2 linked regions of the Arabidopsis thaliana genome follow. The protein of the gene in region 1 binds, or shares a complex with, the protein of each later gene. Each region holds a gene or a part of one and is shown on either strand. Other genes may lie near its edges.

What was found. The genes of interacting proteins can lie anywhere in the genome.
Region 2: PnsB5 (region 1) and PnsL2 share a complex: the UniProt entries of both Arabidopsis thaliana proteins name them as parts of the chloroplast NDH complex.

What each region holds. Positions count from the first base shown.
Region 1 is NC_003076.8:17,578,100-17,584,647, reverse strand, and holds PnsB5 (NAD(P)H dehydrogenase 18), read left to right. Parts: upstream 1-3,372; 5' UTR 3,373-3,502; coding exon 3,503-3,724; intron 3,725-3,799; coding exon 3,800-3,863; intron 3,864-3,969; coding exon 3,970-4,032; intron 4,033-4,111; coding exon 4,112-4,170; intron 4,171-4,317; coding exon 4,318-4,548; 3' UTR 4,549-4,781; downstream 4,782-6,548. Other genes in the region: AT5G43755 (non-LTR retrolelement reverse transcriptase-like protein), read left to right, coding at 876-921, 1,088-1,321, 1,421-1,671. UniProt on the Arabidopsis thaliana protein: NDH shuttles electrons from NAD(P)H:plastoquinone, via FMN and iron-sulfur (Fe-S) centers, to quinones in the photosynthetic chain and possibly in a chloroplast respiratory chain.
Region 2 is NC_003070.9:4,837,340-4,842,900, forward strand, and holds PnsL2 (PsbQ-like 2), read left to right. Parts: upstream 1-2,461; 5' UTR 2,462-2,545; coding exon 2,546-3,019; coding exon of another isoform or gene 3,020-3,034; exon of another isoform or gene 3,035-3,194; coding exon 3,195-3,293; 3' UTR 3,294-3,458; downstream 3,459-5,561. Other genes in the region: UCP3 (Mitochondrial substrate carrier family protein), read right to left, coding at 792-1,322, 1,877-2,263; AT1G14160 (Uncharacterized protein family (UPF0497)), read right to left, coding at 3,459-3,674, 3,829-3,952, 4,032-4,321. UniProt on the Arabidopsis thaliana protein: NDH shuttles electrons from NAD(P)H:plastoquinone, via FMN and iron-sulfur (Fe-S) centers, to quinones in the photosynthetic chain and possibly in a chloroplast respiratory chain.

The sequences.
Region 1 (6,548 bases):
ACATTCTCTGTCACTCTTCTATATTAATACCGGTTGACATTGCAGCTGCAAACAAAGAAGAAGTTTGAGTTGTGGTGGATATTTTCAGAAAAACCAATTAGATATAAGATTGAGGATTTTGCTCATCATAAAATAATCTATAACTTAAATGTAGTCAAAGGAAAAACATTGCACTTTCTTTATCGCCTACTACTATATTTATTGTGAATAAATTTTAAGATAATACAAAAAAAACTATTGAACCTCATCAGAAACTAATTCACACTTGATTTTTCCTTTTTGACCAAACGAATCAAGAAAAACATTGCATTTTCACATATGTTATATCATTATCAAAGAGGTTGTAATTTCATAAACAAAAGTCTATATTTTATTTTTTACATTCTTTTTTCGTTAAAAGGCTTATAAAAGTCTATTATTTACACTTTACAACATAGTATTCACTTAAATATTTTCATTATTCTATCTAAAACTAATTTGTATATGAAATCATAACAAACAATTAAAAATACAGTTCAAAACACCAAAATTTGCCCCAAAAAAAGAAATCCAAAATTTGATAATCGTTTCCGATCGAGTTCTATTTGACTTTGTATTGACTTGCTTTGGTCTGGTCTCATCTTTAAATACCACGTTCTAACCATTCTTCATGATTTTATTCCCGCGGCTTTGGTGAAAAACGTTTAATTTTCTTAAAATGATGTTGTAGACAAGAAAACTTTGTGTCATTATCAAGAAAATAAGAAATGATGCCATTCTACCAACTCTGAACTTGAAAGCCGAAGAATCGTCACAGATAGTTTTTGTCGTAGATGTGTCATAACGAGAGAAACTACGGATCATTTGTTCTTTACGTGTCCACACGCTCGCCAAATATGGAGAGCTTCGAACATTCCCCTTCCGAGTCTATCAAATCCCCAGGTGCATTATGAAACAAAAATTAAAGAGATTTATGAATTTCATAAAAATGCAGGACAACATACAATGCAAGGGCAGCTACCTATCTCGATCCTTTGGAGAATATGGAAAAGCCGTAATAAGCTAGTGTTCCAACGAAAACAGAACGATTGGTGGAGAGATATCAGAGATGCTACAAATGAAGCGGAAGAATGGATCACAAATGGCTTATGTGCGCAAGTTCCCACTCCGAGTACGACTAATGGCACAACTAGGCAGTTTCAGAGTCAGTGGCAAAAACCACATATGGGATGGATTAAGTGTAATTACGATGGCAGCTTTGTGAATCGAGTTCGTGGCTCTACGGCAGCTTGGATAATTAGAGATGATAACGGCGTGTTCAAAGGGGCTGCTCAAGCGACAGGTGCGACCGTTTCCTCAGCCTTTGAAGCAGAATGTCAAAGCCTAATTCTTACCATGCAACAATTATGGATAAGAGGCTTTAGAAAAGTAATACTTGAAGGCGACTGCAAGCTCCTAGTCAATGTTCTGAATGGAAGAGGCTCAAGATTTGATGCTATCAATTGGATCCATGAAATCAAAGTTTGGAGAAATAAGTTTGACGCAATCAAGTTCACGTGGTCACACAGATCAACAAATCAACCTGCTGATATTTTAGCGAAAAACCAGAAACATGCTCTGTCTTCATACATAGTTCATAGCTTTATCCCATTGTGTATCTCAAATGCTCTGTTTTCAGACTACGTTTCCTAAGTAATAAAAATGAAGTTCGTGTTAAAAAAAAAAAAAAAAAAATGATGCCATTAACTCATATCATAAGTTCATAACCCAAAACTAAACTATCGTTTCATGTGTACTAACTACTTGTGAGATTTTCACAAGTCAATAACATGCGTGTGAATCTTTAACGCGTGCGTGATAAGTTTTGTATTTATATCATCATTTGGTATGTGTCAACACACAATTTGGGGAGAGTTTGTGTGGTAAGTAATGCAAAAATATATGTTTGTTATATAACATAGAACTGATTCTAATTGCTAAGAAAATTCCTACCAAACGAAGCAATTACGTTCAACAATTATTCTTAGAAGTTTGAAGAAACCATTCTCTACCACTCCACAATTCTTTCTTCTTCATTGGTTTTACAAATTCTACCTTTTCAAGTCATTCTTAAATCTTAAATAAACAAAACCAGTTTGAATTTTTTTTCGTAGTTGGTAGAAAAGTGTGTTCCAAAATGAGTTCTTTAGAAAAAAAATATTTCCAAAATGAATTATGATTTTTAATCTCTCTGCACCTTTAGTTATATCGGTAAGATATCTCAAATTCTTCAAGCAAATTATGGTACATATTTTCTATAGATAATATTGAAGAAAAAAGGAGCTTAACTAGTGTTGATTTCAACTATCGGAATCAAATATATATTTGCATTTCATTAGACACTAAACCTTTCAACAAAAAAATAATAATAATTCAATAAACACTACATGTGTAAGTGCATGTCACATGGATTACAAATCATTAAGCTAATATCTTCGATGAATTAAGAAGATAAGTGGATAACAAGTACCTAACCGCAATAGTCCATAAATTAAAACATTAATGTATTTGTCGTTGAAAATTTGGCCGACTTTTATTTGTTATTCTAGTTTCCACATCAAAAATGTTTGTACTTCGTAGCAATCCATCCACCTAAACCCCAAATCTTAATTTATATTTGTTGCGTTTAAATTTGGGTGAGATTTGATTCTAAGTAGTTGAGATAAATTGATATTCTATTCATTAGTAAAATGATAGAGAAATTGGTTTATAATAATTTTACCCTAGAACATGACATGATATTGGTAACCATTAATCAAAGAAAGAGCAAAGCATTTAATTTACCCTACTCTCCAACCACTCCAGCCTTTATTAGTTGCAGTTGGGAATCATTTCTTTATGATTCTTATGTCATTGTCTCCTAAATCAATGAAGTGCCTTGACCTTGTTACTAATTCGAACATAGCAAAGCCAACTACATAGATCCTTTACAAAGTTCTAAAAACAGGTTGTTTAGGCGTCTAGACAAACAAAACCATTTTGTACGATTCAACAAATTGGTCCATAGAATGTTATTGATCTTTCTTGTTTAGGCATTCGATAAATCGGCTAATACATTATTTTTTTGTTTTGCTTTTTCCTTATTAAAAATATGCAAAGTATTATGATGTTTAACCTGAACTGAATTTTACATTTAACTGGATATAGGAAAATATTGGGTTGAATTTAATAATTAAGCAATTGTCACGTAAATCAAATTGGGCTTAATATATATTGTTGATTTCAGCAAAGACAAAGTTGGGCCGTTTCAATAGTCTTCACGCGATGTAAGCGTTCACTAACCAACTAGAGAAGACAATCAAATGAATACGTTCCACGTGACGCTTACGAACTTGTCAGTCACTTTGGTAATATGACAGACAGTAACCAGTAAACTACTAATCTCTTTCGCTAACGAACACACAAAAAAAAAAAGAACCGTTTTTTCTTTCTATGGCTCCAAAACTCTGAGACAGAGCAAGAAAAAGATAAAGTGAGTGAAAAAATGGCAACGGTCACGATTCTCTCACCCAAATCGATTCCAAAGGTCACTGATTCCAAATTCGGAGCTAGGGTTTCTGATCAGATCGTCAATGTCGTAAAATGCGGCAAATCCGGCCGGAGATTGAAGTTAGCGAAGCTGGTCTCAGCGGCTGGATTGTCACAGATCGAACCAGACATCAACGAAGACCCGATTGGTCAATTCGAGACTAATAGCATTGAAATGGTAAAGATTCAATTGATTTTAAATTCATAATTCTGCTGAAAGTTGTTTCTGATTGGTTAGCGCTTTTGTTAATAGGAAGATTTCAAGTATGGATATTACGATGGAGCTCATACTTACTATGAAGGAGAAGTTCAAAAGGGTATAATTTTGGTTTCTCCTATTGATTCTTGTCGCTGTTTCGATTTTAGAGCTATAATATTTCTTTGTTTGATTGATTGATTAGTCTTCTTGGAAATGTTTCTTAGGAACATTTTGGGGAGCAATTGCTGATGACATTGCTGCTGTGGATCAAACTAATGGGTTTCAAGGTATGAATTTAACCCGCTTTTTAGTGCTTTTTATGTACCGCAGATTGATTGAAAACTCGCGGTTTTTTTATGTCTGCAGGTTTGATCTCTTGTATGTTTCTTCCTGCTATAGCTCTTGGGATGTATTTTGATGCTCCGGTAACTTCAAAATCTTTTGCTTGCTTCCAAAATTTATCATTACTAGTTTTATCGCTTTTGTTTTGTGGAGGACGTACAAGAGATTAGATAATTAAGCCAAGTATGAGAAGAAAAAGAATCACCAGTGTTTGTGTGTGTGTGTTGCAGGGTGAGTACTTGTTCATAGGTGCAGCGTTATTCACGGTAGTGTTCTGTATAATAGAGATGGATAAACCTGACCAGCCACACAACTTCGAGCCTCAGATATACAAATTGGAGAGAGGAGCTCGTGACAAGCTCATTAATGACTACAACACAATGAGCATTTGGGACTTTAATGACAAATATGGTGATGTATGGGATTTCACCATTGAGAAAGATGATATCGCCACACGATAAGATAATGGATTGTGATCTCGTTATAATCATGACTTTTGATGTAAACTGTTTTATAAAATTGATGAATGAACGGGGTACAATGTGTATAATATTGATTGTTCATTCTCTTATTTTTCTTTAGTACCATAAAACCTAGATTCTCATCTTGTAGTGTTAGGTTTCTGTTCTTCACTATATGTTTTTTTAAGATCTAAGTACCTCGTATGGACCCAACGAGTTTCCATACCCATCATTAGTTCATACAATGGTGGATAAACCATACAATTTGAGGTTGACGTATGCCACACGCTAACTTCATCCCCTGGTCCAAACACAACAATATAGTGTTCCAGTATTGTGGAAGAGTCCGAGGAGCTAAACACACCTTCGAGTTCTATCGAGTTGGAACATCAAGTGACAAACCAGCTCCACTCCTAATCCCTAGTCTCTCTACAAGAAAATGCTTTAACGTATCTCTGACACTTTCTTTAATATTGTGCAAACTATTCGTAAGTTCCATACCAGTTTTTACTATGATACTAGATGAGTACCCACGCTACGCGTGGGTTTGTTTTGAAAATTGTTAAAAAATATTTAGATTGATTGTTAGTTTTGCTAATTTATGTTTATTTTTGTATTGTTAATGAAATTAGATCCATATTATTTACAATTTTTATGGTTAGATTCATTTGTAACTCGAAATATCAATTTCTAATTTTCATGTATAAAGCTATTTATAAGATGTTAATATTTGTTCACTATCAAAAATACATATAACAACAATATATGATATTTTGATACAATTATGTGTAACCATGTTACTTGTGTGGTTTAAAATTTATCTTACTCGATTATAAATAAATCAATTCTTTGTTTTATGTACTTCAACAACATTGTGATAAGCTCATGATTAAAGTTTTGATTGACTTCAACTGAACAAGATCTGAAGAGTATTCGTATGAAAAAGGGGTATGAAGAAAATAAAAAGATAGCAAAAACTAAATGTCATTTAAGTCAACACTTTTAGATCTTCTGTCATTGCATATATCAATATTAGAAAAATGATCGTGTTTTGCATGATTTGAAAATTGTCTAACTTGATTATAAATAAACTATTTTTGGTTTATGTATTCCCTGATATAATACTCCAACAACATTGTTATAGGCTCATGATTAAATATATAGAATTAATATAAATTGAACAAGATTTCAAGAGTATTCATATGAAAAAATAAAAAGAAAGCAAAAATGAAAGTATCATTTAAGTCAATACTTTTAGATCTTCTGTCATTGCATATATCCATATAAGAGAAATGATCGCGTATTAAATTATTTGGTAGGTCTTATAGAGTAGTGATTATTGCTATAAAAAAAATTTAGTCATTATAGAGTAGTGATTATTGCTAAAAAAATATAAATAAAAAGAATATAATGAAAGTAGTGCTTAATTTATTAACATATTTTTTTGTTTTTTATTTTTATTTTAAAAAAATCAATCAAGAGTAGGATTGATGATACATTTAATTTGTTTATTTAATTTTATTAATTTTTAGTTTTAAAAATATCGAATGACACATGTCATTTTCTTGTGTGATAATGTGTCATTCATATGGAGAGAGTTGGTCAACTTTCATATATATGATTTTAAACATAGATAAACCCTCTTACTATAATATTCTCTTATTCATCCTATTTTAATTAGTCAATCAAAACATTTCATACTATATTTTAAAATAAATAAAAATTAACATGAAAAAGGAACAAATTAAAGAAACAAAATGTGTATACTTTTAATTAAAGAAAATTAAATATCGGTTTGTGTTTATAACTAAGAGTTTGATTTTAGATTTTACAATTAAACAACATTATATGTCGTTTTGGGTTTATAAAAAACATTTAAGGTTTAGATTTTACAATAAAAATAAATTATATGTTGGTTTGGGTTTATAAAAATGAGGTTTAAGGTTTAGATTTTATAGTTAAACAAAATTATATCTCGGTTTGGTATTATAGAAGAGTAT
Region 2 (5,561 bases), on another chromosome or scaffold:
GATAATTCATCAGTACTTCTTCTGGATAAACTTCAATTACGTTTAAATTGAAGAAACCCCAGTAATAGTTAAGCTAAATAAACAAAAGATGATTTGTCACGTTTGCTTATTCTGGGTAAACATCAAAGAGTTTTCAGAAATAAAGAGTACCTTAATTCCGTGGGGAATCTTGCCTCTAGATTTTTATCGAGAAATCAGAGGAGTTGATTCAGTGTAGAGTTACTTATTGAAGGAAAGAAGGAAAAACGAAATCAGAAAATTGGATACAGTTTTTTTTTTTTTTTTCGCGTTCACAGAAGTCTACTTTATTATAGAGGAGAAGAAGAAGAAAAATGACGTCAATATGTTTGGGCAACGATTTCCACGCGCCAAATTTCGATTTAATACATGGACAAATGACACACAAAATTTTCTAACTTAAATATACATACGATATACATAAATGATAAATCTAATATTATTCCATTATCATATAATATTTTGTATGTGCCAAACATCACGACTTTTTTTAATTGCAATTTTGAAATTCACATATTACATTTCTATGGAATATTTTATTAATCTCTTACTTTTTAAAATATTTTTTTGCTTAGGATGTCCAATCTAATTTAATCAACAAAAAAAAAATGATAAATCTATGGGCCTACACTTTTGGGCCCAAATTTATATAACTCTTCTCGCGTTAATCAGAAACTGATGCTACTTCTCAAGGTTCTTACAAAATGTGTAACAACTAACAAGTAAGAACTAAAGAACACAAATCTCAAATTTGCTTTTCCAGTTTCTCAGGTCTAGAAGGAAGAGATTCCTGCCAGCAGTCTAAACTTCTCATAGGAGACCCAAAACACGAACTGCCACGGTCCAAGCCTTGCCCATGTCGGGAAGAAACCTTTCCACAAAGCTCTTATTCCTTCAAACTTAACCGTCTTCACCAAACAGTCGTAAGAATTTCTGTACACAGCATTTTCACCCTGGTTCATCATCCTCGTCTTCACCACATCAGCTGGACAACTCAAACTTGTCGAAGCAAGACCCGACATTATAGAAGCAAGAGTGTGCGCAAAAATGTTATCCTCAGCAATCTTCTTATCGATGACAAAGTGTTTGGCGTGATCATAGCAAGCTAGTTCTCCCATATTCACTAGAAATGCTCTCTGGATGTTTGGAAGAACACCTTTCCATAACCCTTTTACTCCTTCTGATTGTAGGATTTTGGTAAAAGCCTCGATTGGTCCCGAGTACCTCGGTTTCAGGCCTTGGCTCACCAATCTACCATCTGCTTGCATTCTCACTTTGACCAAATCAGCTGGACTAGCCACTACCTGCATTTCTAGTATGGACACAATAAGAAGCATTTTAGTGTGGTGTAGGTATAAACAACACTCAAATGTCAATTCTAAAGATATCAACAACCTAAAAGATAGCTACATTTCTCACTTCAGTAGCGTAAAAACAATTGAAAATCCTTAATAATTAACTTCGCCGGAAATCTACGAGTTTCCATAGGTAATCAGTGATCTGAGAGAACTTAATTGTAACACATAGGAGACAACAAGCAAGCACAAATTTTGGATTAAGGATCTGTGAAATACATTGAGACGTCTATGACTAGGATCTGCATTGGTTCTTATCTCTGAACCAACCTAAAGTAGCAGCTAACTTTGGAATGAAACGAACATTGAAAGCCTATAAAACTTGAAACAAAATCTCCTTCTAATTAATACCTTCTTCTACGAAACATATTCAAAGGAAACTATACATAGAGATCGATTGTTCAATTCGAAATGTTAATTCTACTCTAAGCAACTGTTAATCCAGATCCAATTTACAGTCAAAACATGACTCTAAAGATTTACCGGTGAAGAAACACCGTTACCTGAGCTATAACACCAGAAAATCCTCCGACGAGAGCCTTTGTGGCGAGAGGAAGAGACTCGCTATTGTTAGTTTCAGATCTGACGATGAGTCCTTTCAAATTCTCGTATCCAATGATTCTGATAGGCGTGTAGAACAGGTGTCTGATAATCGCCGGAGATAGACCTTTGTAGAGACCAATCACTCCTTCCTTTCTCGCAATCTCCGATACGACTCCGAAAGCGCCAATCCGATGCGCACCAGAAGCGGATCCCGAACCATGGAGCTGCATTCTAGTCTTTGTGAGATCAATCGGAAACGTAACTGACTCTGCAACCATCGCAGAGAGTGAAGCAAGCAGGATCCTGGTTCCGGTCGGTGCTTCTCTGGTCACTCGGCTCCGCTCCATTTTCACCGGATTTGATTACCACTAACACAATGTCCATCACAGAGAACACAACTTGATTCTATTTCGTAGTCAACGACATCGTTTCGGTCATCAGAGTGTATTTGACGACGTCGTTTCCATAATATTGGGCTTTAAAGTCTTATGGGCCCATGTTCACAAATTCTAAAATACAAAACTTTAGAGATAACAGCCGACGTGGCAAAACATGAAAGACCGAGTAGACATTATAGTTTTGAGCTCCTCCCATTTCATATCCTTAAGAAAAACAAAAACAAAAATCAAATGAGCTCCTTCACCACCACCAACACTCCGCCACCGTATCTCCTCCGGAAAATTTATCATCGCCGTGTAAACCAACCGTTCTCCGTCGTATGTTGCACCGGAGAACCCCAACAAGACATCTTCACCCGCCGGAGAACCTTGACTTCACTAATAACATTCACGGTCATCGGCGGTGCTACGTCATCAGCATTAGCACAGGAGAAATGGGGGACAAGGTCATTCATAAAGGAGAAATATTTTATGCCGGGACTATCACCTGAGGATGCGGCGGCGCGTATAAAACAGACGGCTGAAGGATTAAGAGACATGAGGGAGATGTTGGACCACATGTCGTGGAGGTACGTTATATTCTACATAAGATTGAAACAGGCTTATCTGTCTCAGGATCTCACCAACGCCATGAACATCTTGCCGGAGAGTCGCCGGAATGATTACGTTCAGGCGGCAAACGAGCTTGTCGAAAACATGAGTGAGGTATACGTTATATAATTAATGAACAAATTAAAAACAGAATTAGTAATTTTTAATGCTAATTTAAGGTTTGATTGTTAATAACACTGAATGTTGCGTTTTGTAACACATGATCATATGGAAGTCAAACTTTAACCACATGTTAATATTGATATCTTTCATAATTTTGATATAACAGTTGGATTTCTATGTACGGACGCCAAAGGTGTACGAGTCCTATCTTTACTACGAGAAGACATTGAAATCGATAGACAATGTTGTGGAGTTTCTTGCTTAATTCAGTTGTATTGTATATATGTCTTTCTTCATTCTTCACATGAAATCTCTGGACTCGTTACATTAGATATAAAATTAAAAGACTTAATAATGTATATTCAAGAAACATTTCGTTTGCGTGATTTCTCTGCAAAATCAGATCGATATATATATGTGCATAGATATCTTAGTGGCGAGAGAGGGAGATAGCGGAATTGATAACAATAAGCATGAGTAAGATCACTGCGCAGAAAGAACCGATGAGAGATCCCGAGATGCGTTCACAGAATCCGTCAAATTGCTGGCAGATCGGTGGCCAATTAGCAGTTGTGTTCCCCTCGTGAGCTAAATACACGGTGGCTGTTGCTGCAGATGCTCCAGAGCTAACCAAAGCCAGCATCACCTGATTATATATAGAAACCATAAATCATAACACTTTTGAGTGATCAAATTTAAATTTATATATGGGTTTTCATTAAAATGTTAGCTTTCTTGGGTCACAAGTTAGTTGGATATTTGGTGCCCTGTTTTGTTCTCTTAAAGAGGGAGATATTTACCGTGTCGACAACGAGCAAGATGATTCTCGAGGTTTTAGCTTGAGTACTGAAGATATGAAAGATACTCACAGGTAGAGAAAGAACCAAATATCCACCAGAAATGGCGTTTGCAACCACGAAAAACCTATAAAACAGAGCAGTATTATTATATATACACAATCAAATTCATGATTCATCGATATACTGATCACTGAATATTTTACATGAGCGTTGGTAAGTCGCTGTATTTAACTTTCAGAAGTACGAGCTGACTCAAAGAGACAACAGATTCATGTGTTGTTCCCATGGCAAGCGCGCTTCCTATAGTTCCAAAAACAGCAAATAACCGCAGAACGAATCCAAGAACCGATATTCCTTTGTTTATAACCAACTTTGGCTCAAAAGTAATCAATTTCCTAGATGATCTTGAAGTTTCCCCAGCTTCAATCTGTTTTGCTTCCCTAGCTTCAATCCCTTGTGCTTCCTCAGCTTCATTATGCTTTGCTTCTTCCATTTTTGCTCTGTGACTGTTTACTAAACAAAAAGGGTCTGCAGTTTATATAAATCTCCACAGTGAAACACTTCAAGAAGTGGTTAAGACTTTGAAGTAGCTGATTATAATGAAGAATACAAGATAAAAAAAATGTTAAAGCATAATTAATTGTGGAATTCACATATAAAGACAGAGAATTTAGGTTTATTGCTGAGGACATATAATGAGCAAAGATTTATTTGTTATCTTGTGTTTTTGCTTATCCTCTCTGTACCTGCTCTATATTGTTACATCAAACAACAACCAATAAGAATTCTCATTTTGGCATTGTATTCATGTCCGTAGCTAAATAATAATCTAAGCTATAAACTTTGAAGTGTTTACTAAATTTGACTGTGATTTTTTTTAGAATGATGAATATATTTTATTCGTAGAGAAAGAGAGAAGAAATTCAAAAGATTAAAGCTACCCAGATTGAATTCAGTGCTTTAAGGCACGACGACAACTTATGATGTTTTGTCTTTCATAGGCGTTTTTGTTCAAGAGGTTCTTTTTGAATTGTCCCACATCGATAGTTTAGAAGAGCTTTAGTCATAGCTTTGGGTATAAAATAGAAGCTGAGCCGTACGAACAATTCATACCTTTCTCGGCCTTTTGGCTAAGATCAAGTGTAGTATCTGTTCTTATCAGTTTAATATCTGATATGTGGGCCATCGGCCCACACGATATTAACTCTATTTTTTGAGGGAGATAGCTCACTAAGATAGCTTGCTATCTGGGCTTTCGCGAGTCGCCCATGCGTTGCACTATTGCACGGGCTTGGCTCAACCCGCCAATTTTAGAGTCCCAATTTTTAAGAATCGATTCTTCTTATTGCACCGTCAAGGCCCAAGGAATACCGATTTGGTGAGATTCTAGCTTGCAAACGTAACTTCATCCCACATCGACGATTATGAGGATATCTAGTGTATTTATATATACATCTGAACTTTGGTAAGTTCAACTCGTCACTGTACGAAGTGATTGGACTATAAACTTGTCAAAGTTCAGGCCCAGATAAGTCCGCGGGTCACTTTTCCGTAGAGATGCGGAACCTCGGCAACGAGAGAATCTTTACGTCGGATAGACATATGGCTGAGACACGTGTGTGGAGCCTTCTCTCGGACGAATGATATAATATGGCTGAGACACGTGTTTGGAGCCTTCTCTCCGACGAATGATAATATGGCCGTTCGTTACAAAACAGTTATTCACTTGGGTC